Linked DNA regions of Macaca mulatta. The protein of the gene in region 1 interacts with the protein of each later gene in a biochemical or structural test. Links are inferred from orthologs where the notes say so. Each region holds a gene or a part of one and is shown on either strand. Other genes may lie near its edges. The genes, in order: SP1, ESR1, E2F1, ATF7IP, MAPK1, POU2F1 and HTT.

Region 1 (4,136 bases):
GGAGGCCAGAAATCCAGGTGCCTGCAGTAAAGTTTAACCTTCGTGATTGCAAAAAGCAGGAGCTCAACTATCTTGCTTTATGCATAGGCGGTATTTACTATTAACTCGGAAAAATGGAAGTGACTTATCCGCACTTTAGCCTCAAAGCTTGAAAAGTTAACCAGTCGTAAGTGGTTAGCGCCTTTGTCTGGCGGAACTTAACAAAATGGCGTTTTCTGGAATCTTACGGAGACTCTGCATATTGGTCAGCTCAGTATTAACTTATTTGGTGAGCGCTGTCCCCAAATCCCGTTCCGGCTGCACTCGCAGGGCTTGCAGCGACATTGAGGTATCTGCCCGCCTGTCCGCCCACCCGGGAAACGGGTAAGATTTGAGAGGTACTTTATAGGGGCAGTTAAATGAAGACTCAAACAAATCCTAGTGTTGATGCGGAACTGCGCGCCGAATGCCTTGGCTCTGACACCTGTTGAGCTGCAAGACTTCACTAAAGCGTCCCACCTAATGACTGTAACAACGTCCCCTGAGGTGGGCCAATATGGCGACGGTCTCCTCTTGGCACAGCCCTCTTCCCTCCCTCATGATGGGCGGCTCCGGTAACGCCCATTGGCCAACTAGGAGGCGGTGCCAGGCTTACTTCGTTCCCTCATTGGATTGAATAACTTAGGGAGCCGCCAATTCTCCTCTGCCACTCCAAGTTTCCGCCCTCAGAGTTAATCTGGCGTTTAATTGGCTTTTAATTCACGTCAATATGCGTCCTTTCCTGTCTTTTTTCAGTCTTAATCCAATCATAACTTTCCTGGCTGCCCGCCTGATTTCTGATTGGTTTTAATCAGCTTCAGCCTATCCTATTCCTGTCTACTTCTTACCTCTCCTCCCACTAGGATTTTGCCCAAGCATATCCCGGATTCTAGTTGGCCGTTGTTCTGTCATTCCTATCAAACCTTTCCCTATCCCAATGTCTCAGGGAGCCCGCCTGCCGGTTGACTGGTTTCCTTCCAAGCCAATAATCCCCAGCTCCCGCCCATCTTCACTTCCTGCATCTTTCATTGGCTTTTAACACTGAGAGGGCTGTCTTTTTGGGCGGACACCAGGCACGCAACTTAGTCTTACACGCCTTAGAGAGCAAGCGAGTCTTGCCATTGGAAAACCTCACCGTCTTTCTTCTGCAAGTCCCACCTTTCCCCCTCCCTCATTGGGCGGGGCAGCAGAGAAGGGGCGGGGCATAGGTTGGGCTGGTGGCGCGCTGCTCCCTCCTCCTCACCCCCCCCTCCCTGTCCGGTCCGGGTTCGCTTGCCTCGTCAGCGTCCGCGTTTTTCCCGGCCCCCCCCAACCCCCCCGGACAGGACCCCCTTGAGCTTGTCCCTCAGCTGCCACCATGAGCGGTAAGGATGAGTCCACTCCAAGCTTAGGGGTGGGAGGCGAGTGAGGGGGCGCGCGCGAGGGCCGACCGGGCGATCCCCGCCGTGAGGGGGGGCGGGCGGGAGGCGGCGGCGGCGGCCTAGGTCCCGCCCGGGGCGGAGGGAAGGGAGGGAGACGGGGCAGTGGCTGGGCCTCCGAGGAGGAGGGGGATGGGCCGCCCGCCCCGGGGGAGGGGGCAGCGTGGCCTCGCCCGCCCCCTGCCCGCCCCGGCCACGGGGGACGGGCCTTACCCCCCACTACTCGGCCGCCCGCCTGAGGCTCCTCCCGCCGGGGGCTGGAGCCGCGGGGGCGGCCCGAGCAGTGAAGGCCCCGCCCGGGCCAACCGCTTGTCTGGTCCGTCCTCTGGTCGCCGCCTGCTCCGGCGCCCTCCTCCCCCCACTTTCCGTAGATTTCCCTTCCCCCCGCCCCACCGTCCCGCCCTTTCCACGCCCCTCACCCCGAAACCGCCCTTTCCCTCAGGGCCCGCCCTCCGCCCCGAAACCTCCTGACTACTAACCAGTACACCCCTTTAGTTCCTTAGTAGTATTCACAAATGTTTTCCTACTAAAACTTTTTATTTCTTTTTCCCTTCTCCTCTTGTTACTTTTAATACTTGGGTTTTTGTTTATCTCTCTCTTTTTTTTTTGAGAGGGAGTTTCGCTCTTGTCGCCCAGGCTGGAGTGCAATGGTGCGATCTCGGCTCACTGCTACCTCCCGGATTCAAGCGATTCTCCTGCCTCAGCCTCCGGGAGTAGCTGGGATTACAGGCATGCGCCACCACACACGGCTAATTTTGTATTTTTAGTGGGGACGGGGTTTCTCCTTGTTGGTCAGGCTGGTCTCAAACTCCTGACCCCAGGTGATCCTCCTGCCTCAGCGTCTCAAAGTACTGGGATTACAGGCATGACCACCGCGCCTGGCCTCTCCATCTCTTTTAACCTTAATTTTAGCAATCTTTCCATCCACCCACATATTGTTTTTTGCCTTACTTGTCCTTTTTTCCCTTAGGATACTTTTTCTTATTTTGAAACTCTTTCAGCATGACTACCATCCTTCACATTTCCTATCCCCAAAGCACTTTTTGAATGTTTTCTTAGTTAATTTTGTGTAAGGGAGAATTGAGGCCCACTTTTGGCACCATTGAGCCTAGTTCATGTCCTGCATGCCCTGCAGCTCCCCTCTGCCCTCCAATCCATTTTCTTTATACTGGCGCCTTTCGCCTTCCTGTTAGTCATTGCTATTTCATCATAGCCTCCTTTTATCCTTCCTACCTCATCTCTTTTCTTCCCTCAAGTTTAAGTTGTTTGTTTTTTAATTGTTTTAGACCAAGATCACTCCATGGATGAAATGACAGCTGTGGTGAAGATTGAAAAAGGAGTTGGTGGCAATAATGGGGGCAGTGGTAATGGTGGTGGTGCCTTTTCACAGGCTCGAAGTAGCAGCACAGGCAGTAGCAGCAGCAGTGGAGGAGGAGGAGGGCAGGTAAGTGATAATAATAGAGTGGGGAAGATGTTGAGAGGATGTAAATATTCTTAGATAATTGCCTTACTCTTCATAGAAAGCTTTTTAGGGAGCTTATCAAAACCATTTTATAGATAAGAAGTAAGAGTATGGAGATCCCCAAAGACAGGAGTTTCAGCAATACAGATAGGTCAGCTTTTTGTTTCTGTTTTTTGCTCCTTGTCTGCACTACGTTGCTGTTTATTTGTTGTATACTGCCCCCTAGGCTGGCAGCTGGGTGTCACTAACTCCTTTCCTCTCCCTTATTTTTGGCCAGGAGTCCCAGCCATCCCCTTTGGCTCTGCTGGCAGCAACTTGCAGCAGAATTGAGTCACCCAATGAGAACAGCAACAACTCCCAGGGCCCGAGTCAGTCAGGGGGAACAGGTGAGCTTGACCTCACAGCCACACAACTTTCACAGGGTGCCAATGGCTGGCAGATCATCTCTTCCTCCTCTGGGGCTACCCCTACCTCAAAGGAACAGAGTGGCAGCAGTACCAATGGCAGCAATGGCAGTGAGTCTTCCAAGAATCGCACAGTCTCTGGTGGGCAGTATGTTGTGGCTGCCACTCCCAACTTACAGAACCAGCAAGTTCTGACAGGACTACCTGGAGTGATGCCTAATATTCAGTATCAAGTAATCCCACAGTTCCAGACCGTTGATGGGCAACAGCTGCAGTTTGCTGCCACTGGGGCCCAAGTGCAGCAGGATGGTTCTGGTCAAATACAGATCATACCAGGTGCAAACCAACAGATTATCACAAATCGAGGAAGTGGAGGCAACATCATTGCTGCTATGCCAAATCTACTCCAGCAGGCTGTCCCCCTCCAAGGCCTGGCTAATAATGTACTCTCAGGACAGACTCAGTATGTGACCAATGTACCAGTGGCCCTGAATGGGAACATCACCTTGCTACCTGTCAACAGCGTTTCTGCAGCTACCTTGACTCCCAGCTCTCAGGCAGTCACCATCAGCAGCTCTGGGTCCCAGGAGAGCGGCTCACAGCCTGTCACCTCAGGGACTACCATCAGTTCTGCCAGCTTGGTGTCATCACAAGCCAGTTCCAGCTCCTTTTTTACCAATGCCAATAGCTACTCAACTACTACTACCACCAGCAACATGGGAATTATGAACTTTACTACCAGTGGATCATCAGGGACCAACTCTCAAGGCCAGACACCCCAGAGGGTCAGTGGGCTACAGGGGTCTGATGCTCTGAACATCCAGCAAAACCAGA
Region 2 (4,103 bases), on another chromosome or scaffold:
TATGCTTTTCGTGTGAACATACCTAAAGCATATACACGTAACCAGAAAATTAAAAGATGGAAAAATCTGCAGAGAGTGACAAAGGAAAGCTGGTGCATTTGTATTAGTATCAGATAAAGCTCATGTTTAGATAAAAAACATTATAGTAATAGAGGAAGTCAAAAGGTTAAAGTTTCAATTCACCAAGAAATATCCATTCTAAACATGTATACATACCCAATTAAGCTGCCTCAAAATATATATGACAAAAATTTAGAGAATTGTAGAGTCAGATATAAGGATTGAAAAGGAAGAAATGAAACTAATTATTTTCAGATGATATATACATTTACATAAAAAACTCCAAAGAATCTTCAGATAAATTATTAGAAATTGTAGGAGAGCTCAGCAAGAAGGCAGGATATAAAATTAATATACAAAAGTCAATGTCATTTCACTATACCAGAAAAAAGACAATAACATTAGAAAATAAATCTAACATAAGATGTAGAAAAACTTATTAGAGGCAAAATTTTCTTGAGAAATATTAAAGAAGATCTAAATAAGTAGAATTACATCATATTCATGCATAAGAAGGCAACATTTTGAAGATGTCTTGTTATATATAGGCCTAGGAATAATATAGTTTTAAGTTATGTTATTTTGAACTGTAGGTGAAAGAAAGCTCTTTTTTTTCCTTTGAGTATTTTAAGATTTTGAATAAAGTCATAGTGCTCTAGGAAGGTTGTAATATTTTATACTTCGCCAGCAGTGTTTGAGAATGCTTACTTCCTACATTATAACCACCATAAATATTTAAAACCTGATAGCACACAGTTTTAAAAATTTGAAATTCTCCAATTAACAGTGACCTTTAAAAATTATGTTTACTGGTCTCCATTATTTTGTCCTTTGTAAATTTTTATTAGTTTTTCTGTTCACATGTTCCATTTTTAAAATAGACTTTTAAGAGCTGTTTGTATTAAGAATATTAAGGCTTTGTCCCTATAATTAGTATTTTTCAGAATATCCTTTCTAGGTACAGTTTTTCAGTTCTAGTGCACAGAATGGAAACTTGTTACCTGCTATACCACATTTTCACTAGGATGTGATGTATTTATCACAAACAACAGTATTGGTCAACATTTTCCCTCGCTGTGAAGTGCACATTTGACATCCTTTAGAAAAATTACTGACGGTTTTGAGACGATTGTTTTGTGCTTTCTTTCAGTCAACGTAATTTTCCCGAAAGCAGAGATGACTCTTCCAGACATGCTAACAATGCCTGAACAAACTGTGTAAGCTTAGTCCAAAAAAAATATTTGATTAATAGATTTTATTTTGGTAGATTCTAAGGTTCTAAGCAGTCAGAGAAATAATCGCAGAGCCTCAAATATCTCCAAAATCTGATACCAATCCCTTTGATTGTGAATTATATTCTGTAGCTACCAAAGAAGGTAAGTTTTAATTTTTTCTACTCTATTAACTTTCTCTTGGGCAACTGAATATTAAGATGACTATGTAAGGAGGTTATCAGACCAAGGCCTCACACATCAGGATAAAAGCACATGCCATAGAAAGAACATTTGTGTCTCACAAGGTGATACCAAGGCAAGGCTATGGGATATATATGGGCACAATGTTGATATCTTCAAAGACTTAATACATAGTCTGGAGGTTTTCAGAGATTTTAATTTATAATGACAATCTTTCAAATTAGGAGAATTTTTGGACTGTAAAGTTAGCCAAACAAGTCTTCAATGATAAAAAACGTCTATATCTTACACAGGGGGAATACATTTTTTGTTCGTTTTAATTTTTTCTCTGTCTATTCATACAGGGGCATCACATGTCTTTATCATTAAAAACTCTGATTTAGATAGACAGTTGTAGAGAAATTTAATGTGTGAGAATTTAAAGTTGTTTTATAAAGATGTAGCAAAATACAAATTTAAGACCCACAGCACCAATGAAAAAGGGAAATTAATTAAACTAGACAACTTTTATGGGTACTACCCATTAAAATTAAAATTTTAGTCATTGTAAATTATATTACATTGTAACAGTTTTCAATCTGTTGTCAAGTTGAATATTTTGGTTGACAATTGTATTTCACAGTTGTTCACACTTTGCATAATTTTCTAAGGAAAATGAGTCCCTTGGGGAGAAAATTGTTCTAAAATTTTGTTGTTGGATAATGTTGCTGCACTAACATGATTTGCTGAAGTGGATCTACCATGTGTGTTTAGGTTTTTGTTCTTTACGAAATGTGTTGGGTGAAATTTTCCATAACACTGGTGAACTTTTCATGCTAATTTTCCAGTCCGTCAGTTTAAATATTATGCATTTTTTCCTGCGAATCTATCTTGAATCTGAAAAGGCCCCAGAAGGAATTAGCATGAGTCCAGAGTAGATGGACTGCAAATGTTACTCATATTTCAACATGTATCCAGCTTTCAGAAATAGCTTACTGAAATCAAGGTTGAACCACATGAAATTTTGGGGTTTTTTTGGATGTAAAAAAGGTTAAATATTGACATTTTCATATCATCCAATCTAATATCTTCCTCTAGTGAGGTTCTGGCAAAAAAAAAAAAAAAAAAAAAGTATGATGACCCAAGTTGTTCACTCTTTTAAGCTTTATATTTCAAAATATTTTTAAAATTTAAAGCCATATAAGTGCATCCCAAAAAACATGGGAAAATTTTGTAGGCTACTTTTGTTTACTGATTTTTCTTCTATAGATTTATTTTTATGCTATGCCTGACTCTCCAATTAGATTTTAGTCATCCAGGAAAGTACAATTGCTTGTACTTCTAAGCAATTCTCCCATCACCTGGACATTAACTGCAGCCCACACTGCAGTGTCTTGACTGCAGTAGGCACTCAGTAAATATTTATTGATGGTCCTGATTATGGGATGATGAAATATGCTAAAGGTAACTTAAACTTTTGTCAATAAAACTGAGTTTCAGGTTAGTTTGACCTTTTCCGTATCTCTAAATATTTTCTTTCATGTCATTTTTGTGAAATAGCTCACAAAAGTACTTATTGATTCTGAAATCCTTTTCCCCTCTGGTATTCCTGAGCTATTCTCACACACAGCACACCAGTGCCACCGTTTGCTGTTTTGGTTAAAATCATTCTCATTAATATTCCTCATTCAGTAAAAATAGTTGATTCTCAGTTATAAATATACACTTCATATTGGCAATGTGGGATGGAAAACAAAATGATGATATTGACTCCATAAGATAAACAGCAGTCTTTAGAATAGAGTTTGGTGCATAACTGTTCTAAATGTATCAAAGTTATCTCATTTAATCCTCCCACACACCTGTGGGAAGAGAGTATTTGTCTTGCTTTACAGATAAGGAAGCTGAGGCTTAGAAGATTCATATGTCTAACTAAGATCACAGAGCTGGTAAATCAGCCAAGTTTGAGTCTAAATCCAGGTTTTAAATATCATATTACATGTAGGCATAGATAAGCAAGAACAGGTTTTCCTGAAGATGGCCAGGCTAAGGCTTAGAAGAAGGAAGCTCAAGGAGACTAAACCAAGATATGCTAAGGCAAGTTTTTTTGTTTGCTTGTTTGTTTTTGAGACCGAGTTTCGATCTTGTTGCCCAGGCTGGAGTGCTGTAGCATGATGTTGGCTCACCACAACCTCCGCCTCCTGGGTTCAAGTGATTCTCCTGCCTCAGCCTCCCGAGTAGCTGGGATTATAGGCATGCACCACCATGCCCAGCTAATTTTGTATTTTTAGTAGAAACGGTGTTTCACTATGTTGGCCAGGCTGGTGTCGAACTCCTGACCTCAGCTGATCCGCCCACCTCAGCCTCCCAAAGTGCTGGGATTACAGGCATGAGCCACTGCGCCTGGCCTGCTAAGGTAAGTATTAACCATTAGAGATGACTAGTCCCAGTGACAGGTCTTTCCTACTGGGAGTCAGCCAAGAGCTCCCCACTTTTCTGGTTCCGTTGTTCCTCCTGCAAAGTTCCATTCATAAAGTGGTTTCCCATTTGATTGTCCAATGATGCAAATCTCCAGTCCTTTATAGCATTGAGTTTCTCATGGCCTTTTACCGTTGAGTTTCTCATGGCTAATGAATGCTAATGAATTGG
Region 3 (3,500 bases), on another chromosome or scaffold:
TCGCTGGCTGTCAGTATCCTCGGAGAGCAGGCGCAGCTGCGTAGTACAGATATTCATCAGGTGGTCCAGCTGCTGCTCGCTCTCCTGCAGCTGCCGGAGGTCCTCGGTCAACCCCTCAAGCCGCCCGCTGACGCCCACTGTGGTGTGGCTACCCCTGTGGGGAGGCACCAGGGAGGGTAGGGTTAGCAGCACTTGGCCCCTCTGGCCAGGAGCCCTGGCCCTCAGGACAGAGTCTGCTGCCACCTCTGTTCTGTGAGGCCCAGGCAAGCCCTTGCTTCTCTCTGGGTCTGGTTCCTCAGCTGGGCTCCAAATCAGAGTGTCATGGGCTTGAAGTCTGGCCCAAATATAAACACCTTCATGTCCCTCAACCAGGGTGGGATAAATGATGGAACTGACATGCCACGAAATATTACACACACACACAAGCATTTCCAAGACATGCTGTCAAATGAAAAAAAAGAAAAGGCTGGGCTTGGTGGCTTATAACTATAATCCCAGCACTTTGGGAGGCTGAGGCCAGAGGACTGCTTGAGCCTCAGGAGTTTGAGACCAGCCTGAGCAACACAGTGAGACCCTGCCTCTACACCAAATTAAAGAAATTAGCCAGACATGGTGGCATGTACTTGTAGTCCTAGCTACAGGTACAGGGCTTGAGCCCAGGAGGTTGAGGCTGCAGTAAACTGTATTTGTGCCTCCATACTCCAGCCTGGGCAACAGAGCAACACCCTGTCTCAAACCGCACCCCCACCCCACCAAAAAAAACACAAAAGATGCAGAATGGAACAATCTACCAAAAAATGAAAAGGCAGGTGTTTGTATCAAAGAAAGGGTAGTAGCAGGATGACTGGGGCGAAGGCGGGAGGGGGAAAATAAAACAAGTAAAAGAATAAAACATCTGCCGGGCGCGGTGGCTCAAGCCTGTAATCCCAGCACTTTGGGAGGCTGAGACGGGCGGATCACAAGGTCAGGAGATCGAGACCATCCTGGCTAACACGGTGAAACCCCGTCTCTACTAAAAAATACAAAAAACTAGCCGGGCGAGGTGGCGGGCGCCTGTGGTCCCAGCTACTCCGGAGGCTGAGGCAGGAGAATGGCGTAAACCCGGGAAGGCGGAGCTTGCAGTGAGCTGAGATCCGGCCACTGCACTCCAGCCTGGGCGAAAGAGCCAGACTCAGTCTCAAAAAAAATAAATAAATAAAATAAAACATCTATGCCAGACAGACCTCATGAGGGCATGAGAACCAGGATAGTGGTGACCTGGCGGTATGAAGGCTTGGCAATGACTGGAAAGGGGCACAAGAGAACCTTCTAGGGTGTTGAAAATGCTCCTATCTTGATCTGAATGGTGGCAACCCAGATGAATAAATATGTAAAGCTGCGCCAGGCGTGGTGGCTCACGCCTGTAATCCCAGCACTTTGGGAGGTTGAGGCAGGCAGATCATCTGAGATCAGGAGTTCGAGACCAGACTGGCCAACGTGGTGAAACCCATCTCTACTACAAAATACAAAAATTAGTTGGGCGTGGTGGCAGGCGCCTGGATCCCCAGCTACTAGGGAGGCTGAGGCAGGAAAATCACCTGAACCTGGGAGGTGGAGGTTCAGGTGATCTTAGTGAGCTGAGATCGCACCACTGCACTCCAGCCTGGGTGACAGAGTGAAACTTCATCTAAAAAGAAAAAAGTAGAGGCCGGGCGCGGTGGCTCAAGCCTGTAATCCCAGCACTTTGGGAGGCCGAGATCGGCAGATCACAAGGTCAGGAGATCGAGACCATCCTGGCTAACACGGTGAAACCCCGTCTCTACTAAAAAAATACAAAAAATTAGCCAGGCGTGGTGGCGGGCACCTGTAGTCCCAGCTACTCCGGAGGCTGAGCCAGGAGGATGGCGTGAACCTGGGAGGCGGAGCTTGCAGTGAGCCAAGATCGCGCCACTGCACTCCAGCCTGGGCAACAGAACGAGACTCCTTCTCAAAGAAAAAAAAAAAGAAAAAAGAAAAAAGTAAAGCTACAAGTGAGGTGGATATGTAACATTTGTGTGCTTTTTACCATCTATCATCTCAGGGAAGCTACCTCTCCTCTCTGAGCCCATTTCCCTAGCTGTAAGATGGGGATGCAGGCAGCCACAGTGGGTATTACTACCAGCTCCTCCAGGCTGGCATGGGCAGGTGTGCCTGCCCTCCTGTGTGGCCGGTACCTACAGCCACTGGATGTGGTTCTTGGACTTCTTGGCAATGAGCTGGATGCCCTCGAGGACGTTGGTGATGTCATAGATGCGCCGTTTCTGCACTTTCAGCACCTCAGCAGCCCAGTTCAGGTCGACAACACCGTCGGCCGAGCGGCTCAGCAGCTCCAGGAAGCGCTTGGTGGTCAGATTCAGTGAGGTCTCATAGCGTGACTTCTCCCCCGGGGATTTCACACCTGCGGGGGTGTGGTCAGGCAAGACAGGGCCCTTCAGCATCCACCCCCACCTCCAGCCAGGCCTGCTACTCTGGCAGGGCAGGGCCGCAGGATGATAGGGGCTGGGGGACAGCCAGCTCCTTCCCCTTGGCGAGGCCAACCACAGCATTCTTCTTCTGGCCGGGGAACTCCTCACCCCTCAGGGCCTGGAGAAACCAAGCCAGGTGGCCACTCCCACTGCCCATCAGGGTCCTCAGAGGCCTGGCTCAAGCCCGACAAGCCAGATGTTAGCTTGCAAACTTGTTTGTCTGTTCACACCCCTAACCTGGGCCTGGTCACAGGGGGCCTGCCCAGCCCAAGCTTCATAGTTACCTTTTCCTGGATGGCGGCCTCTGCCCCGAGCTGGCCCACTGCTCTCCGCCAGGTACTGATGGTCAGTTTCCAGGTCCAGCCTCCGCTTCACCTGTGGCGAAAACAATGGGAGGATGCCCAGTAACCAGAAGTGAGGCCAGAAGAGACCTGGCTGAAGGCTGGGTGCCTCTGGACTACCCCCGCCTCAGTTTCTCTAGCAGGATGCCTGAGTGTGTGACTGAGGGAGATCAGAGAAGACACAGCCTGAAAGTCACAGTCCTACTACACAGGACACTCAATTTTCACTTCTCTGGGGTCTAGTGGTGGATTTAAAACACATCTGCAAACTTTTTGATCCTTCTCCTTCAAAAGATGAAGCCTAATTCTCCTCCCCTTTATGAGCTAGATCTGGTAACTTGCTTCTGATGAATGGAATGTGGTGGAAGGGATGGCGTGTCACTTTTGAGACCGGGTCAGAGGCACTGGAGCTTCCTCCTTGCTCTGTATTAGGTCACTTTGCCATGTCATATGGACATTCAAGTAGCCCCAATGATAGGCAAGAAACTGTAGCTTCTTCCCAACAGCAACACTTAGTCACAACTTCTGTTAGCAGCCAGACCCCAAACACTGGCTGAACCTCCAGAAACCCCAAGCGAGAGCTGGATAAGTCTTCCCTGAATTCCTGACCCACAAAAACTATATAAGAAATGTTTAGGCCGGGCGTGGTGGCTCACGCCTGTAATCCCAGCACTTT
Region 4 (2,258 bases), about 44 Mb from region 1:
GTTTGAGACCAGCCTGGCCAACATGGTGAAACCCCATCTCTACTAAAAATACAAAAATTAGCCGGGCATGGTGACGGGCACCTGTAATCCCAGCTACTCTCGGGCTGAGACAGGAGAATTGCTTGAACGGAGGAGGCGGAGGTTGCAGTGAGCTGAGACTCCACTGCACTCCAGCCTGGGCAACAAGAGCGAAACTCCATCTAAAAAAAAAAAAAAAAAATTACTTGAGGAGGTGTGCAAGAAATCAAGGGTAAAAAGGCTGCAAGGGAAGAGTAAGCAACCATGGACATATGGCCATGTTTATTTATTTATTTTTGGCCATGTTTATTTTTGTAGTTAATCTTTAAGGCACAAAATAAATGTAAAAGCCAGATCAGGAAAGGGAGGGGGCCATTGCAGATCTTTTTTAACCTAATTAATAACTTAGGAGACCAGACAAAAGAAACAACAAATAGATCCTTTCCTGTGTTCGAATCAACCTATTTTAAACTATTTAGCCATTTTGTTTTTAATTCATTTCTTTGGGTTTTGTTTTGATTCTGTTTAAACCATTTAACTAAAATGATCCTACAGATCCTTTAAAAGCAGAGTCATGCCAGTTACACATCTCAGATCCTTTGATCTACTACTTCGTACTTTAAGAGGTAAATTTGAGAATAAAAATGGGAGACTCCAATGCAGTAACACATACATAGGGAAAAACACACATAAACACCCACACATATTCCCCAGCCTCAAAACTAAAGCAAGGTACACATTTACATTTCCAAACCCCAAAGCCTAAACTGTCCAGGAAAAGATTCTAGCTTTGTGGGCTGAGTTTATTTTGCTTCTGTTTATAAACAAATGTAGTGTATACACACATCTGTCCAAGAAATCTTGCACAAGGTGGATTTTACATGGGGTATCATGCACAAGATTAAAAACAAGACCAAAAGGTGGAAATTTTAAAAGAGGAAAATATAAAGGCTCCAAGGTTTAACTGCTCTGGGTGGAAGAGATCACATCTGTTGACTGAGGATCACAGAAAGGCCCAAAACGTCCATAAATATCCTTGGCTCGTACTGCAAAGTAGTATTTGCTACCAGATACAAACTGGGTGAGAGTACATGCCATGGGCAAGGGAAGTGCCTTGACTTCCCCTATCTTTTTCCATTGTGAGGGCACGGTGGCACTAGGTTCCTCATGGTAAGCATAGAGATGGTAGCTATCAACAGTGGCACAGCTTCGATCCACCTCCAGGACACTCCATGACAGTACTATGCCATTTTGACTCTGAACTCGTGCTAACTTCAAGTGTGGCTTCTGAGGCAGAGATGTGCTGGCAGCTTCTGGGGGCACACGCTGTGGTTGTGGAGCTTCTGGTAAGGGTGCTGGGTGCACAGGGCGTGGCGGCTCCTAAAAAAACAAGTCACACTGATTTATAATGATCGCAAAAAGAACATTTTAGAATGTTAGGATTAAAACACCTTAGAGAACATACATAGAGATACCATTTTACATCAAGAATTCTAGGAAATACCAAACACCATATCAAATTTGGCAAGTTCTATTTGGGGTTTTGTAATGAATGATGCCACAAACAATGATGCTGAGGTTATTCCTGCTCTATTTCCTAGACCTAAAATATTTTGAGTTTTTCTTAGGAAATAAAAAGCCCCTGCTGATGGAACATCATTTTGAGGAACACGGAAATAATGATCTACTTCTAACAAAATAATTTATGATTGAATTATCTATGTTACAGATTATCACTTCAGTATAACATTTTAAAATATCATGTATGGCAATCAAGATCATATAAAATTGGAGAATACAACTATACTTTCATTTTTAAGTTATTTTGCAATATAAGACAACAGCATATTCTTATAAATAAGCGTATTAACACTGAATGTGTACTATATTCTTGGCCAATTTACAAAAAAAAGGTGATATTTAAACTGAACTGTGAAAGATAGGATCTAGAGATACAGAAATAATCATGTACCTTTCAGCCAAAAATAAAGCATGAGCAAAGGCATGTGGACAGGAAAGTGAGGGGACGTATGGACAACAAGTATTAACTTTTTCTTGGATATAGGGTACATGAAGAAAAATCTGGAAAGGTAGGTTAAGGCCAGATGATGAAAAAAACGTGACTCTAACTTTAGGAAGTCCTATTGACTTTTCTAACACTGGAACATCATCGTCATTATGATGATACTTCATACCAGTCAAACACTGACAAAATTGTGTCACAGGATAATGTGACATTG
Region 5 (3,500 bases), on another chromosome or scaffold:
TATCATAAAGATAGTAGTAATTCTCAAGATTCAAATTCATAAAATTGAAGGTATAATTTTTATTATTGCTTTTACTTAGAATTCTGGTATATTAGACATTAAGGACAACTTGGAAAGAACTGGGCCCCATGTTGCTGCCGCAGATGTGTTTTTCGAATAATACTTTCTAGGTTTTCTTATAAAACTACCCAAACATCTTGATTCAGTTTCTTGGAAGAAATGGTCATGTCATTTTGCAAGTGAGAGAAACAAAGTTGATACAAATCATCAAGGTGTTCTCTTGGGTCCATTTTTGTTAGGGATAAAGATGTACTGTTGTCGGTTATTTGAATGTCTCTTCTGTGTCAGAGGAATTTGATACAACAGTAGGAAGGTGTTTTGGAGGCAGAAGTGATTATTCTCACCAGAATGCAGTTGCCGTTTAAGACAATGGGAAAATGCTTGTTTGTGTATTTCTGGGTTTATGAAAATACACATTCACCCAGTTAACAGGTCTAGGTTCTGTCTTAGTTTTGAGAGTCGCTGTATGCTATCTCATGTCAGTTGCATCCATCCTCCCTAGCTTGAGGCCTTTTTGTGGATAATATACATGCTACCTTCACAGGTATGAAACAGGTGTTTACACAGAGTGTTAAAAATATAATACTTTGCCAGTTTGCATTCTTCAACTATTCTGAGGGCTGTTTTTAATGCCATCTGTCTTTCTCTCTCTTTTAAGCTCTGCTTATGATAATGTCAACAAAGTTCGAGTAGCTATCAAGAAAATCAGCCCCTTTGAGCACCAGACCTACTGCCAGAGAACCCTGCGGGAGATAAAAATCTTACTGCGCTTCAGACATGAGAACATCATTGGAATCAATGACATTATTCGAGCACCAACCATCGAGCAAATGAAAGATGTGTATCCTTTTTAGGCAACTAGCCAATTCCACTGCTTGGTAACTTTGTTGAGTAAATAGAACTTGAAATTTCCTAAACTTAAAGGAAAAGTGCTTTAAACATGCTAAAGGGAAAATCGTCATCTGTTTGCCATTTACTCCCTAAGTCTAGTCATGGAAAATCTTGGTTAACTCCATTTGCAGTCATGTTTTTTTCTGTCTAAGAGATGGTTTGTTGTGATGATGAAAAGGTAAAGGGAAGATCAGTAGTAGACTAAGAAAGAGGGTGCCCTGGCTATCTACTGGGTGAAATTAGGACTGTCCTGATCTTAGAATCAGGTCACCACTTTAGGTCTCAGTTTCCCCTCCTTTAAAATGAAGGAACTAGTTGTCATGATCTTTAAGGTCAACTGGGCTCTGAAATTATGTGATTAACTATGACCAACATTTAGATATCTGGACTGAATAGGTCTAGAGGATGCTGCCTGGGCAAAGACTCCATTTGAAAGATAGAGAGGTTAAGTATACTGAAGAGGATCTGCCAGAAGGGAGAGGGTTATACAGCACTCCTACCAGTTTACCCAATTTGTATTCCACCCTCCAGGGTGCGGGAGCTCGCTGTCTCTAGGCAGCCCTTTCCATTTTTAAACAGCTCTGTTAATAAGTTGTAGTGATATTTGAAGTGAAATGCCTCCTGCCACTACCACCTGTTGGTCCTACTTTACTTTTGCCATGAAAATAAGCCTCTCTCAAATGACAGATTTTAAAATCATGTTTCCTTTGAATCCCATGCTGCGCCGCCTCTAGCATAAATCTGTAAGAAACAGAGAATATTATTTACACAGAGAGAGTAAAAAAAATGCAGAAATACTGCTAATGAAATAATACTATGATGAAGTTAAAGGCTAAATGCTTTAATAATTTAATTTCTGTTAGAAAGAAAGTAGCCAGCCGGGCGCGGTGGCTCAAGCCTGTAATCCCAGCACTTTGGGAGGCCGAGGCGGGCGGATCACAAGGTCAGGAGATCGAGACCACGGTGAAACCCCGTCTCTACTAAAAATACAAAAAATTAGCCGGGCGCGGTGGCGGGCGCCTGTAGTCCCAGCTACTCAGGAGGCTGAGGCAGGAGAATGGCGTGAACCCAGGAGGCGGAGCTTACAGTGAGCCGAGATCGCGCCACTGCACTCCAGCCTGGGCAACAGCGTGAGACTCCGTCTCAAAAAAAAAAAAAAAAAAAAAAAAAAGAAAGAAAGAAAGTAGCCATAGCTGAAGTTTTAGGTAGTTAAATAAGTGACCAGGCAAGAAAGCAAGAGGAGCAAAACACGCACAAACCCCTTCTTAGCACGACTTGCCCATAGTCTTATTTAGGATCTTAACAGTTATGGGAGAGTAAGAAAATAGATAGACTTAGGGTTGGATTTACTAGTAAGGGTATGTTTCTAGACCTGTATTTCTGGAAGTTTTATGTTTGGCTTTTGAGGAACTTGGGAAAGGAGGGGAGCGGCAACAAGAAGGAAAAAGAATAGTGACATTACAGGTTACTGGACCAAACAGAGGAGGGAATATGTGCTACTTACAGGCCACCAGTATTTCCAACAAACCTTGGAGGGGGTTCGTTGATGGTGGACAATTTAGAGAACAAAGAGGTTGAGACTTGAAGATTGACCAGAATTTCTGTAACAGCCTGTTTCAGATCTCAGTCTAGGCCCATAGCTGCATCAGTCAGATGTAATGCCGTAATTCTTGCCATCTCACAGGACCGAAAAGAAGTTAACGACTTCAGGTTCCTTCCATGAAAGAAACCAAGTTTTCCTCAGGTTTTTCTTTCCTTTAAGGGCCTCATAGTGTAATAATGGACTGTTTGGGAAGAGAGTCAAGAGAGGACGCATTTTTGTTTTCAACGCTTTGCTAAATATGACCAGCTAATTGGTGTTTTACTTAACCATTGCAAACAGATATATAGTACAAGACCTCATGGAAACAGATCTTTACAAGCTCTTGAAGACACAACACCTCAGCAACGACCATATCTGCTATTTTCTTTACCAGATCCTCAGAGGGTTAAAATATATCCATTCAGCTAACGTTCTGCACCGTGACCTCAAGCCTTCCAACCTGCTGCTCAACACCACCTGTGATCTCAAGGTCAGCCAGGTTATTAACTATTAAGCTGATATATATTGAAAAACTCTTTCACTGAAGCGTAGTTATATTTGTCATTATCGTATTTTAAATGACACTAGAAATGCCCAAAAACATTTTTATGGCAAAAATGCTAGTAGAGTGATAGTCCTCTTCTTCCTTATCCCATTGCTCCTTTTTCCCCAGAGATACTTTTTTTTTTCTTTTTTTTTTTTAAGATAGAGTCTTAGTATGTTGCCCAGCCTGGTCTGAACTCCTGGGCTCAAGCAGTCCTCCTTTCTCGGCCTCCCAAAGTGCTGGGATTACATACATGGGCCACAGCACCAGGCCAAGATAACTAACTACTGTAACAAATTGGTGGCCGTTTGCAGTGGCTCACGCCTGTAATCCTAGCACCTTGGGAGGCCGAGGTGGGTGGAGCACCTGAGGTCAGGAGTTCGAGACCAGCCTGGCCAACATAGCGAAACCCCATTTCTACTA
Region 6 (4,054 bases), on another chromosome or scaffold:
CACACTCACACTCACACACACCCCGACACAAAATAAAAATGTTAAAGAAAATTTTACCCCAGGAAAGACCAAAAATCAAAATTACTGTTTCCTCTAAACAGTAAAAGTTAACCTGCCTCTCACAGGCCAACTGTCCTAAGTCTAGATAAAACATAAAATCAATTCTGACAACTTAAAGAAGAGGGGCGGGTGTGCTGGGAGAATAAGTTCCAAGATCAGGGTAAACACAATGCCTGTGTTTATTCTTCTTTTTTCACTCATTTAACCATGACACAAATACTCAAAGAAAACATAACCCCATTTTTGTTTTCAGTAATGCTACAATTAAAATAAGCAAGTCTATGACAATGAAAGCACAAAATTTACGTCAGCTCCATTTTAAATAAGAATGAAGATGTTCGAAAGGGAGCACCACAGCAAGAAATTATGAAAGTGTTAATTGGAATTTCTAATATTTAGCTACTCCACAACTCTTAGAGGAAAAGAAAAATGTCTCAGTTTCACAAATACTGCAGATCTTTACAAAGCCTTAAAGTATTTAACATGGGGGTGGGGAGCAAGCGGGGTACCTATCCCCAAAACTAAGTGATTTGGATTAAACCGAAATAAATTTCATAGGCTCTGAAAATGAAATACAGGACAGATTTTTTCCCCCTAGGCCCAATACTACTGCAAACTATAAGAAAGTCTTTTTAAGAGAAAACAAACCATATCAGACTTGATACTTAGCTATGAGCTGTTTTAATGCTAGTAAAGCCCCAAGAGAGTTTGTTTTGCCCGCGGAGGAGGGGAAAGTGTGTGGAAGTTGGTGGAGGTAGTCATTTTGGTTATTAGTAAATAAATCAAGCAGCACAGAACATGAGGCCTAGGCAACTGCTAGAGGAGCCAAGGCCTAGCTTTCCCCCTCTCTTCCCAGCACGGCCTGGGTTTGATCTCAGAGCCCTGTGGATTGCCAAGGAAAAAAAAAGAATCATATCGAACCACAAAAGCACATGGGGCGAATGTAAAATATAAACACGGCGTTGGGCTGTGAGTGGCTGTTATTAAAGGTCTGAATTACTAAACATGAGAGGCGGGGAAAGCCAGGCGGCCATTTCAATAATATAAACCTCCCCGAATTAGACATTATTCAAATGAGAAGAGGTTCGGCTAAGCAGAGAGTAAAGACGACCCAGCACCCAGCGAGAAAACACCGCCACAGAAGAAGGGAGGGGGATCCCCGTCCCTCCCCACCGACTCCCAACAGGAGAGAGGAAATCGAGATCAACTTGTCAGGCCAGCCCATTCTGGGGCAGGAGGGCAGCCCTTTACATCCAAGTTCTCGGGAGGCCTCTGGGAGCTTCTAGGGCCTCGGAGCGAGAGGCCCCGGAGGGCCACCCGCCCCGTGCGTCCCGGTCAGGCGCAAGGGGTGTGGGGAGCGGCGTGGGGGGGGCAGCGGGGAGGGGCAAAGGGAGACGGAGGTCAGACCACGCCAGGCACCTCCAGCCCAACTCGCCCGCGAAGCCCCGGCGGACGACGCAAAGGGGCTGCCGGCCGCCGGCCAGGGGCGCGCGGACCGCCCCAGAGGACATCCCCTCGGAAGGAACTTGCCCCAAGGACTCCTTCCAACCCAGTCCACCCCCTAGGGGGGCGACGCAGACCCCTGCGCGGGTTCCCCACCCCCGCCGCCCCAGGCCACCTCTTAGCGCCCACGACCGCTCACCCCTACCCACCTAGAGAGCAGGCCTGGCTTGGGTCAGGCCACCACACCGGGGACCACTGGGGCGCGGCCGAGGTGCCTGGGGCCGTGACCCCCGGGCTCAGCCCCGCTTGGACCCCCGTGCGGTGGCGGGGCGCGGGCAGGGAGCTCTCCCCGCGCGCACCCCCGGTTGCCCTGAGGGCCGCCCCCCGAGGCGGGCAGCGCCCCCCCGCCCGGGCCCGCTCCCGGGGGAAGACGCGTGCGGGTGTCCGGCCGCCGGGGTCCGCTCCGGCCCCGCCGCCTCCCCGGCATTGTGCTCGCCGCCGCCTCCATCCCCCTCCACGCCCCCCACCCCGCGCCCGCTCGGCCCCAGCCGCCCGCCCGCGCCCCACTGCGCCCCGCCAGCCCAGCAGCTATGAATATGTAAAATGTCTTTATTGTCCTCTCCCTCTGCCCCGGCCCCGCCGCCCCGCCGCGGACCCGCTCGGGTTCGGGCAAGGCGGCTAGGAGGCGGCAGCGGCGGCCGGCGGAGGAGGAGGGCCGGTGCCGGCGGGCGGGCGGCGGGCGGCGAGCGGCCAGCGGCGGCGGGGTGGGCCAGGGGCAGGAGGAGGGCGGTGGATTGCAGCCCCCTTTGCCCCTTGTCTTCCCCCTCCGCCTGGCCGCTCCGAGCCTCTTTCCCCCTCCGCTCGGCGCCCGGCGGGGGCTCCGTGCTCCCCGGCCCCCCATCTCCCCGCCGTTAATTATAATAATCCTGAGTACTAATAAATTATGCTAAGTCGCGGGGGGGGCAGCGGGAGCCGGGGTTGAGTATGAATATGAATATGTAAAATGCTGTAATGATTACCTGCTGCTGCTGCCGCCGCGGCTGAACTCTCATCTTGACTCGCTGCTCCTCCGTCCGCCATTTTGAATATTTTAACCAAAATCGCCCGGTCGATAAACCCTCCCTCGCTCTGCCTCCCCTCCCCCCTCCCGCCCTGCTTGCCTCCTCCCTCCTCTCCGCCCCCTCCCGCTCCTTCCTCTCCCCGGGCGCGCGCCAGGGGGCGCGCGAGGCCGGCGCTGTTCGCCCCGGCCCCCTCAGAAGAGCTCCACCCCCGTCCCGCGCTCTGCGCACGCGCCTTCGGGCCGCTGTGGCCTTTCGGTAGCTAAAGCAGCGCCCTCAATCTGCCCGTCACCCCTTCGCTTCGTTTTTCATCTCGGCTCTGCGCATGCGCGCCTATCTCCACGCGCCTGAAGTGTGGCCGGCGCATGCGCTCCCTCTAGCTCGGAACCAGATTATATAGTGCCATGGGCGTTTGTGATGTCTTAAGACTTCTCCCTTTTCCTCCCGCTTTGCTTCCCTCCCGGCTTCGCTCCGGTCTCCCCCAGTGGCCCGTGGCATTGTAAATGCAGGGCAAGGAGCACAGCGGCCAGGAGCGTGGGGCCGCGTGGAGGGGCAGTGGGCGGCCCGCGTGCCCTGTGCCCCGTACTTTCTTCAGGCTTTCCGCGCAGTTGAAACATTGGCAACAATGGACAAGCCGCTCCTCGCTAGGTAATTTCCGGCCCTCTGGGCAGGTAGAGGCGGAAACGACCGCAGCGGGGGCCGGGCATGAGACACCTGCTGAGCCACACGCGGGCCTCCCGCTTTAAATTTGAATCCGAACTAATCCCCGCCCCCGGCTCTGCCAATGCAGGAGACCCGGCCCCGGCAAACGCGAGGGGGAGTGTCCTGTGATTGTTTTAATTAGCCCTAAATCTCTTCTGCTCTACTTGCTTCTAACGCCCAGCTGGCTACCTCGGCAACTAGGCGTCTTATTAAGTCGCTAATTTCCGTCCTACCCTTCCTTTCTGCCTTCACGCCCCTCTGACGCCGCTCCCCTCGATCGAAACAGACCCCATCTTCTGAGGCTTTCCCCTCCTTTTTCCCGCCTTGGAACACCTTTTAAAACCTAGCAGTAAGCTGATAACTAATAAAAATGTCGAAATCAACCGTAACTTCATCGTGAATTTTATTTTACTGTGTTTCTCACAGTAAATATGGTATTGGGGAAGGGTTTCCCGTTGCACGTATCTTTCTTGGTAGCAAATGTTGCTGAGTTTTATCTTAAATGGTGAAATTCCCTGGACAAAGTCCCAGGTCTAATTATTTTACTAATTCTTAAAGCCCTAAGGTTTTTCTAGGCTTGGTTTTTTGTTTTTTCAGAATAAAAAGAAAGGTGTATTTCATGGTAAGCAAAGTTTTGTTTTTTGTTTTTTGTTTTTAAATCAGCTCTAGTTAATCTGTCTTGAGAGATACGACTGAAGCTTAAATTGGGTAGAATTGTCGGTTCTACACTTAAAAACAAAACTGATTTCCAAGTGAGAGCAATTATTTTAACGGCTAAAGTTTTAGTCATT
Region 7 (4,017 bases), on another chromosome or scaffold:
TGAACCTGGGAGGTGGAGGTTGCAGTGAGCCAAGATCATACCACCGCACTCCAGCCTGGGTGACAATGTGAGACTACATCTCAAAAAAAATAAAGAAAAAAAATTATTACTGTAAACTACTTTTATTTTTACAGCATTTTAAATCTATCTTACAATATGCATAGATTATATCTGGCAGGATACAGGAGGAACTGTAATAGTGCTTGTTCTTGGGGACAAAGTTAGGTACTCAGATGAAAGGGGTGGAAGGAAGATATTTTAAGTATTGCTCTTTTGTAATTACGGAATTTGTGTCATGTTAATGTATTACTTATGCAAAAATAATAATTTCTTTTTTTTTTTTTTTTTTGAGACAAGAGTCTCGCTCTGTCACCCAGGCTGGAGTGCAGTGGCGCAGTCTCAGCTCACTGCAGCCTCTGCCTCCCGGGTTCCAGCGATTTTCCTGCCTCAGCCTCCCAGGTAGCTGGCATTACAGGCACGTGCCACCATGACCAACTAATTTTTGTACTTTTAGTAGAGATGGGGTTTCACCATGTTAGCCAGACTGGTCTCGAACTCCTGACCTCAGGTGATTCATCCGCCTAAGCCTCCCAAAGTGCTCGGATTAAAGGCATGAGCCACCTTGCCAGGCCTGATTAAATTTTTAAAATAAGGTAATCATATATTACCTTAAAATAAAGTAATGAAACAAAATCTATCTCCTTTGTAAAGGCAGCAAAGGAAATTTCTTGATACCCATATTTTGAAGATAAGCAAACGCAGGTTCTATCAAATCAGCACAGGAAAGAGACGGCATATTTTCAGAATGATCAAGTGTCTGAAGCAGCCCAGCAGAAAGGTCTTCCTTCCCATCAGGAGCCCAGTTTAGTGTTTACACAAGATACATGCAATGTGTGAACTTCTATGACACCTACCTCCTAGAAAGGCACTACAGTAAATTTCTGGAAGGATGAGAAATTACTTACTGAAGAGATAAGCCAAATTGTTTAAAAATTTATCTAAATATCCAAAAAGTTTTTCCATCCTTTAGAAGAATTTATTCCTAAATTTTACTAACAAATAAGCTAACACTGCTCTCCAAATCCTCCTCTTCTAATTAAACTTTCAAGACAAGGCAAGGATCATAACAGAAACAAAGAACAAGAAATATTACTAAAAATTAATCAGTCTTAATAGAGATATTCTTATCAAATGCCATCTGATACACGTCCAGATCGGAAATAGAACACTGAGAGGTAAGAGAAAGGCCTGAACTGCAGCGGAGTACTTCCTAAATCCTGCTAAACACTCAGCACACACTCCCACGTCCTGGGGTTCCGCTAGATGTTTTAATGGTCTCTTTTTCTGTTTCAAAAATTCTCCCCAAGAACAAGCAACAGAGACCTCTAGCTTCCAAAAAGTAACAAGCTGTCAGCAATGAGGCGAACAGAAACCCTTTCACTGGCACATGAGATGTCCACGGAGTCTGCAGACCTCCCATATTCTGGCAAGCCTGACTGCAATACTGGTAAAATGTATACCTCATTCATCCCTCGGCAATTAACCTCCCCCTCAGCAACGTGTTAGTTTTATTCCCAACACAAACAGGCAATAAACTTCAATCAACTCTTCCTAATATTTAAGATAATTTTATTAATACCACGTAAGTTCACCACTTATTTGGCAACCACAACTCATTCAAATGCCTGCACACTAACTTGCGCTTAGATGAGCAGGTCTCTTAGGTGGTGCTTAAAATCGTGTTACTACCACCGCGATCATGAACTAAATGAAATGCCCTGAGAATGTAGGAAGAGCCTCAAATCTCAGGCTGTTTTAAGTGCCACTTGGAAAATAAATCTCCCATTGGACGCGCCCTCACTCCCCGCCCCCCACCCCAGCCACTCCCGCCGAGGCGTCCTAAAAGCATTATGTCATCCACTGCCCCCACATCTCTCTAGCTCCAAACCCCGCCTCCTCTCGAGGTGTCCCGCGCCCCCAGCCCTCTTCCCTCTCTGACTAGATGAGGGAAGTGGCCCTGAGCAAATCTCGGCTCTTCCAAGTTCTCTTCAGAACACAGTTAAACCCCCGCCCTAGTTTCTCGCAAATAAAAAGAAACAAGTTTTCGCCCCAACTCTTCGCACCCTGGAAAGGGCGAGAGGGCTGAGGCCGTGACTCCCCTCCGTGAATTCAGGACAGGTCCCAACGAGGCTCTGCCTCCCCTCGCGGGAGGACAAGACCCAAGTGCGGGACCGGGGCTGAAGTGGGGGAAGGTCTCGCCGCAGGAGGGGGCGGGTGTCCCTCATTGGCTCTGGGTTGCTGGGTCACTCTGTCGCTGCGGGGCCGGGGGGGTTCGTGTCGCCGGCCCGCAGGCTGCAGGATTCCGCCATCCCCGCCGTAGGCTGGGACCCGCCGGGACAGGGAGCTGCAGCGGGCCCAAACTCACGGTCGGTGCAGCGGCTCCTCAGCCACAGCCGGGCCGGGTGGTGGCGGGGGCGGCGGCGGGGGCGGCTGCGGCTGAGGCAGCATCGGCTGTGCCTGCGGCGGCTGAGGAAGCTGAGGAGGCGGCGGCGGCGGCGGCGGCGGCGGCGGCGGCGGCTGTTGCTGCTGCTGCTGCTGCTGCTGCTGCTGGAAGGACTTGAGAGACTCGAAGGCCTTCATCAGCTTTTCCAGGGTCGCCATGGCGGTCTCCCGCCCGGCTGGGCAGTCCCCGGAGGCCTCGGGCCGACTCGCAGCGCCGCTCAGCACCGGGGCAATGAATGGGGCTCTGGGCCGCGGGTAAAAGCGGAACCGAAGCGGCCGTCCATCTTGGACCCGTCCCGGCAGCCCCCGCGGCGCCTTGCGTCTCAAGACGCTGCGCCGGCGGAGGCGGGGCCACGCCGGCCAGCATGATTGACAGCCCTAGCCTGCGGACTCTGCCAATGATTGGCCAGGGAGCCAGCCAGTCCCTGCGCCCGCATGTTCTGCCTCACAGAGCCACCAAAGCCTCTGACAGCGCAGCGCCCCACCTGGGCGAAGGAGCAGGGCTCAACGGACAGGGGACGGGGCGTGGCAAGACTGTAATGGGGTGGGGCGAAGCTGTGAAGGGGCAGGGCGAGGCGGGACGCGGAAGGGACGGGGCGGGACTACATGGTAACGAGGGGCGTGGCGAGGCTGGGGCGGGGCACAGCAGGCAGGGCGCCTGAGGGGCGGGGCGGGGCGAGGCTGGGGCGGAGCGGGGCGAGGCTGGGGGCGGGGACATTAGGCAGGGCGGCTGAGGGGCGGGACGGCTGAGGGGCGGAGCGAGGCGAGACGATGAGAGGCGGGGCGGATAGGGGAGGGGGCTGACCGTGAGGGGCGTGGCTGGGGGCGGGGCGGGAAGATGAGAGGTGGGGTGCGGAGGGCGGGGCCAGGGAGGGGTGGGGTGCAGAGGGGGCGGGGTGAGGGAGGGGCGGGGCCAGGGCGCGGCGCGCGGGACGCCGGCCCAAGCGGAATGGAACCCTCGCAGACGTCTGGAGCTGGGCGAGAGCCGGCCGTGGGCTCTGAGCCGAGGTGGCCTCGGGGCTTGCCCGCCCGCCACACTGGCCCGCGGCCAGAGCCAGGCTCACCTGGACAGCCCTGCGGGGAGCCTGCTGGGGACTCGCTGCACGGGGAGAGGGTGGGCGAGCCCCTGCGCAGAGCGCAGAGATTGCGCGTGGTCGGCGCGATCTGAAGACCCCAAGTGTGACCCTCCCCACCCCCCAGTGAGCTGGAGCGGCCCCTGCAGGGCGGTGCCCACAGGCCTGGCGCCCCCCATCGGTCCCAGCGCAGCGCCCCGGAAGGGAGGAGAGGGTCTGAGGCAGGCCCGGATGGTCAGCGCCCGCTGCCCACAGAGGCACTGTGATTAGTGCAGCGAGAAGCAGCTGTGGCCACAAGACGCCTCCCACAGGAATGAGTCCCGACCTGGGGGCGTTTCTGTATGGGAAAGCACCCTGCTCTGACCTGGCAGGACCCCCAAGGGGTGCCATTCAGCCTCAGCTCAGCAGAGATCTGTGGGGCACCCCCTCACGCCTGGGGCAC

The links.
Region 2: the proteins of SP1 (region 1) and ESR1 form a complex in vitro, tested with the Homo sapiens proteins (6 studies listed by BioGRID and IntAct). The link is inferred for Macaca mulatta from reciprocal best matches to the Homo sapiens genes SP1 and ESR1.
Region 3: the proteins of SP1 (region 1) and E2F1 form a complex in vitro, tested with the Homo sapiens proteins (4 studies listed by BioGRID and IntAct). The link is inferred for Macaca mulatta from reciprocal best matches to the Homo sapiens genes SP1 and E2F1.
Region 4: the proteins of SP1 (region 1) and ATF7IP form a complex in vitro, tested with the Homo sapiens proteins (3 studies listed by BioGRID). The link is inferred for Macaca mulatta from reciprocal best matches to the Homo sapiens genes SP1 and ATF7IP.
Region 5: of the proteins of SP1 (region 1) and MAPK1, one has a biochemical effect on the other in vitro, tested with the Homo sapiens proteins (2 studies listed by BioGRID). The link is inferred for Macaca mulatta from reciprocal best matches to the Homo sapiens genes SP1 and MAPK1.
Region 6: the proteins of SP1 (region 1) and POU2F1 form a complex in vitro, tested with the Homo sapiens proteins (3 studies listed by BioGRID and IntAct). The link is inferred for Macaca mulatta from reciprocal best matches to the Homo sapiens genes SP1 and POU2F1.
Region 7: the proteins of SP1 (region 1) and HTT form a complex in vitro, tested with the Homo sapiens proteins (2 studies listed by BioGRID). The link is inferred for Macaca mulatta from reciprocal best matches to the Homo sapiens genes SP1 and HTT.

The regions. Positions count from the first base shown.
Region 1 is NC_133416.1:60,525,951-60,530,086, forward strand, and holds the start of SP1 (transcription factor Sp1), read left to right. Parts: upstream 1-1,336; 5' UTR 1,337-1,375; coding exon 1,376-1,382; intron 1,383-1,886; exon of another isoform or gene 1,887-2,083; coding exon of another isoform or gene 2,084-2,165; intron 2,166-2,722; coding exon 2,723-2,880; intron 2,881-3,175; coding exon 3,176-4,136. UniProt on the Homo sapiens protein: Transcription factor that can activate or repress transcription in response to physiological and pathological stimuli.
Region 2 is NC_133409.1:70,391,526-70,395,628, forward strand, and holds the start of ESR1 (estrogen receptor), read left to right. Parts: upstream 1-1,303; 5' UTR 1,304-1,436; intron 1,437-4,103.
Region 3 is NC_133415.1:86,450,472-86,453,971, forward strand, and holds part of E2F1 (transcription factor E2F1), read right to left. Parts: intron 2,859-3,500; coding exon 2,768-2,858; intron 2,417-2,767; coding exon 2,197-2,416; intron 155-2,196; coding exon 2-154; intron 1-1. UniProt on the Homo sapiens protein: Transcription activator that binds DNA cooperatively with DP proteins through the E2 recognition site, 5'-TTTC[CG]CGC-3' found in the promoter region of a number of genes whose products are involved in cell cycle regulation or in DNA replication.
Region 4 is NC_133416.1:16,943,279-16,945,536, reverse strand, and holds the end of ATF7IP (activating transcription factor 7-interacting protein 1), read right to left. Parts: intron 1,399-2,258; coding exon 979-1,398; 3' UTR 501-978; downstream 1-500. UniProt on the Homo sapiens protein: Recruiter that couples transcriptional factors to general transcription apparatus and thereby modulates transcription regulation and chromatin formation. Can both act as an activator or a repressor depending on the context.
Region 5 is NC_133415.1:31,183,087-31,186,586, forward strand, and holds part of MAPK1 (mitogen-activated protein kinase 1), read left to right. Parts: intron 1-718; coding exon 719-901; intron 902-2,833; coding exon 2,834-3,023; intron 3,024-3,500. UniProt on the Homo sapiens protein: Serine/threonine kinase which acts as an essential component of the MAP kinase signal transduction pathway. MAPK1/ERK2 and MAPK3/ERK1 are the 2 MAPKs which play an important role in the MAPK/ERK cascade.
Region 6 is NC_133406.1:24,774,584-24,778,637, reverse strand, and holds the start of POU2F1 (POU domain, class 2, transcription factor 1), read right to left. Parts: upstream 2,801-4,054; 5' UTR 2,584-2,800; coding exon 2,523-2,583; intron 1-2,522. UniProt on the Homo sapiens protein: Transcription factor that binds to the octamer motif (5'-ATTTGCAT-3') and activates the promoters of the genes for some small nuclear RNAs (snRNA) and of genes such as those for histone H2B and immunoglobulins.
Region 7 is NC_133410.1:3,254,538-3,258,554, reverse strand, and holds the start of HTT (huntingtin), read right to left. Parts: upstream 2,801-4,017; 5' UTR 2,662-2,800; coding exon 2,426-2,661; intron 1-2,425.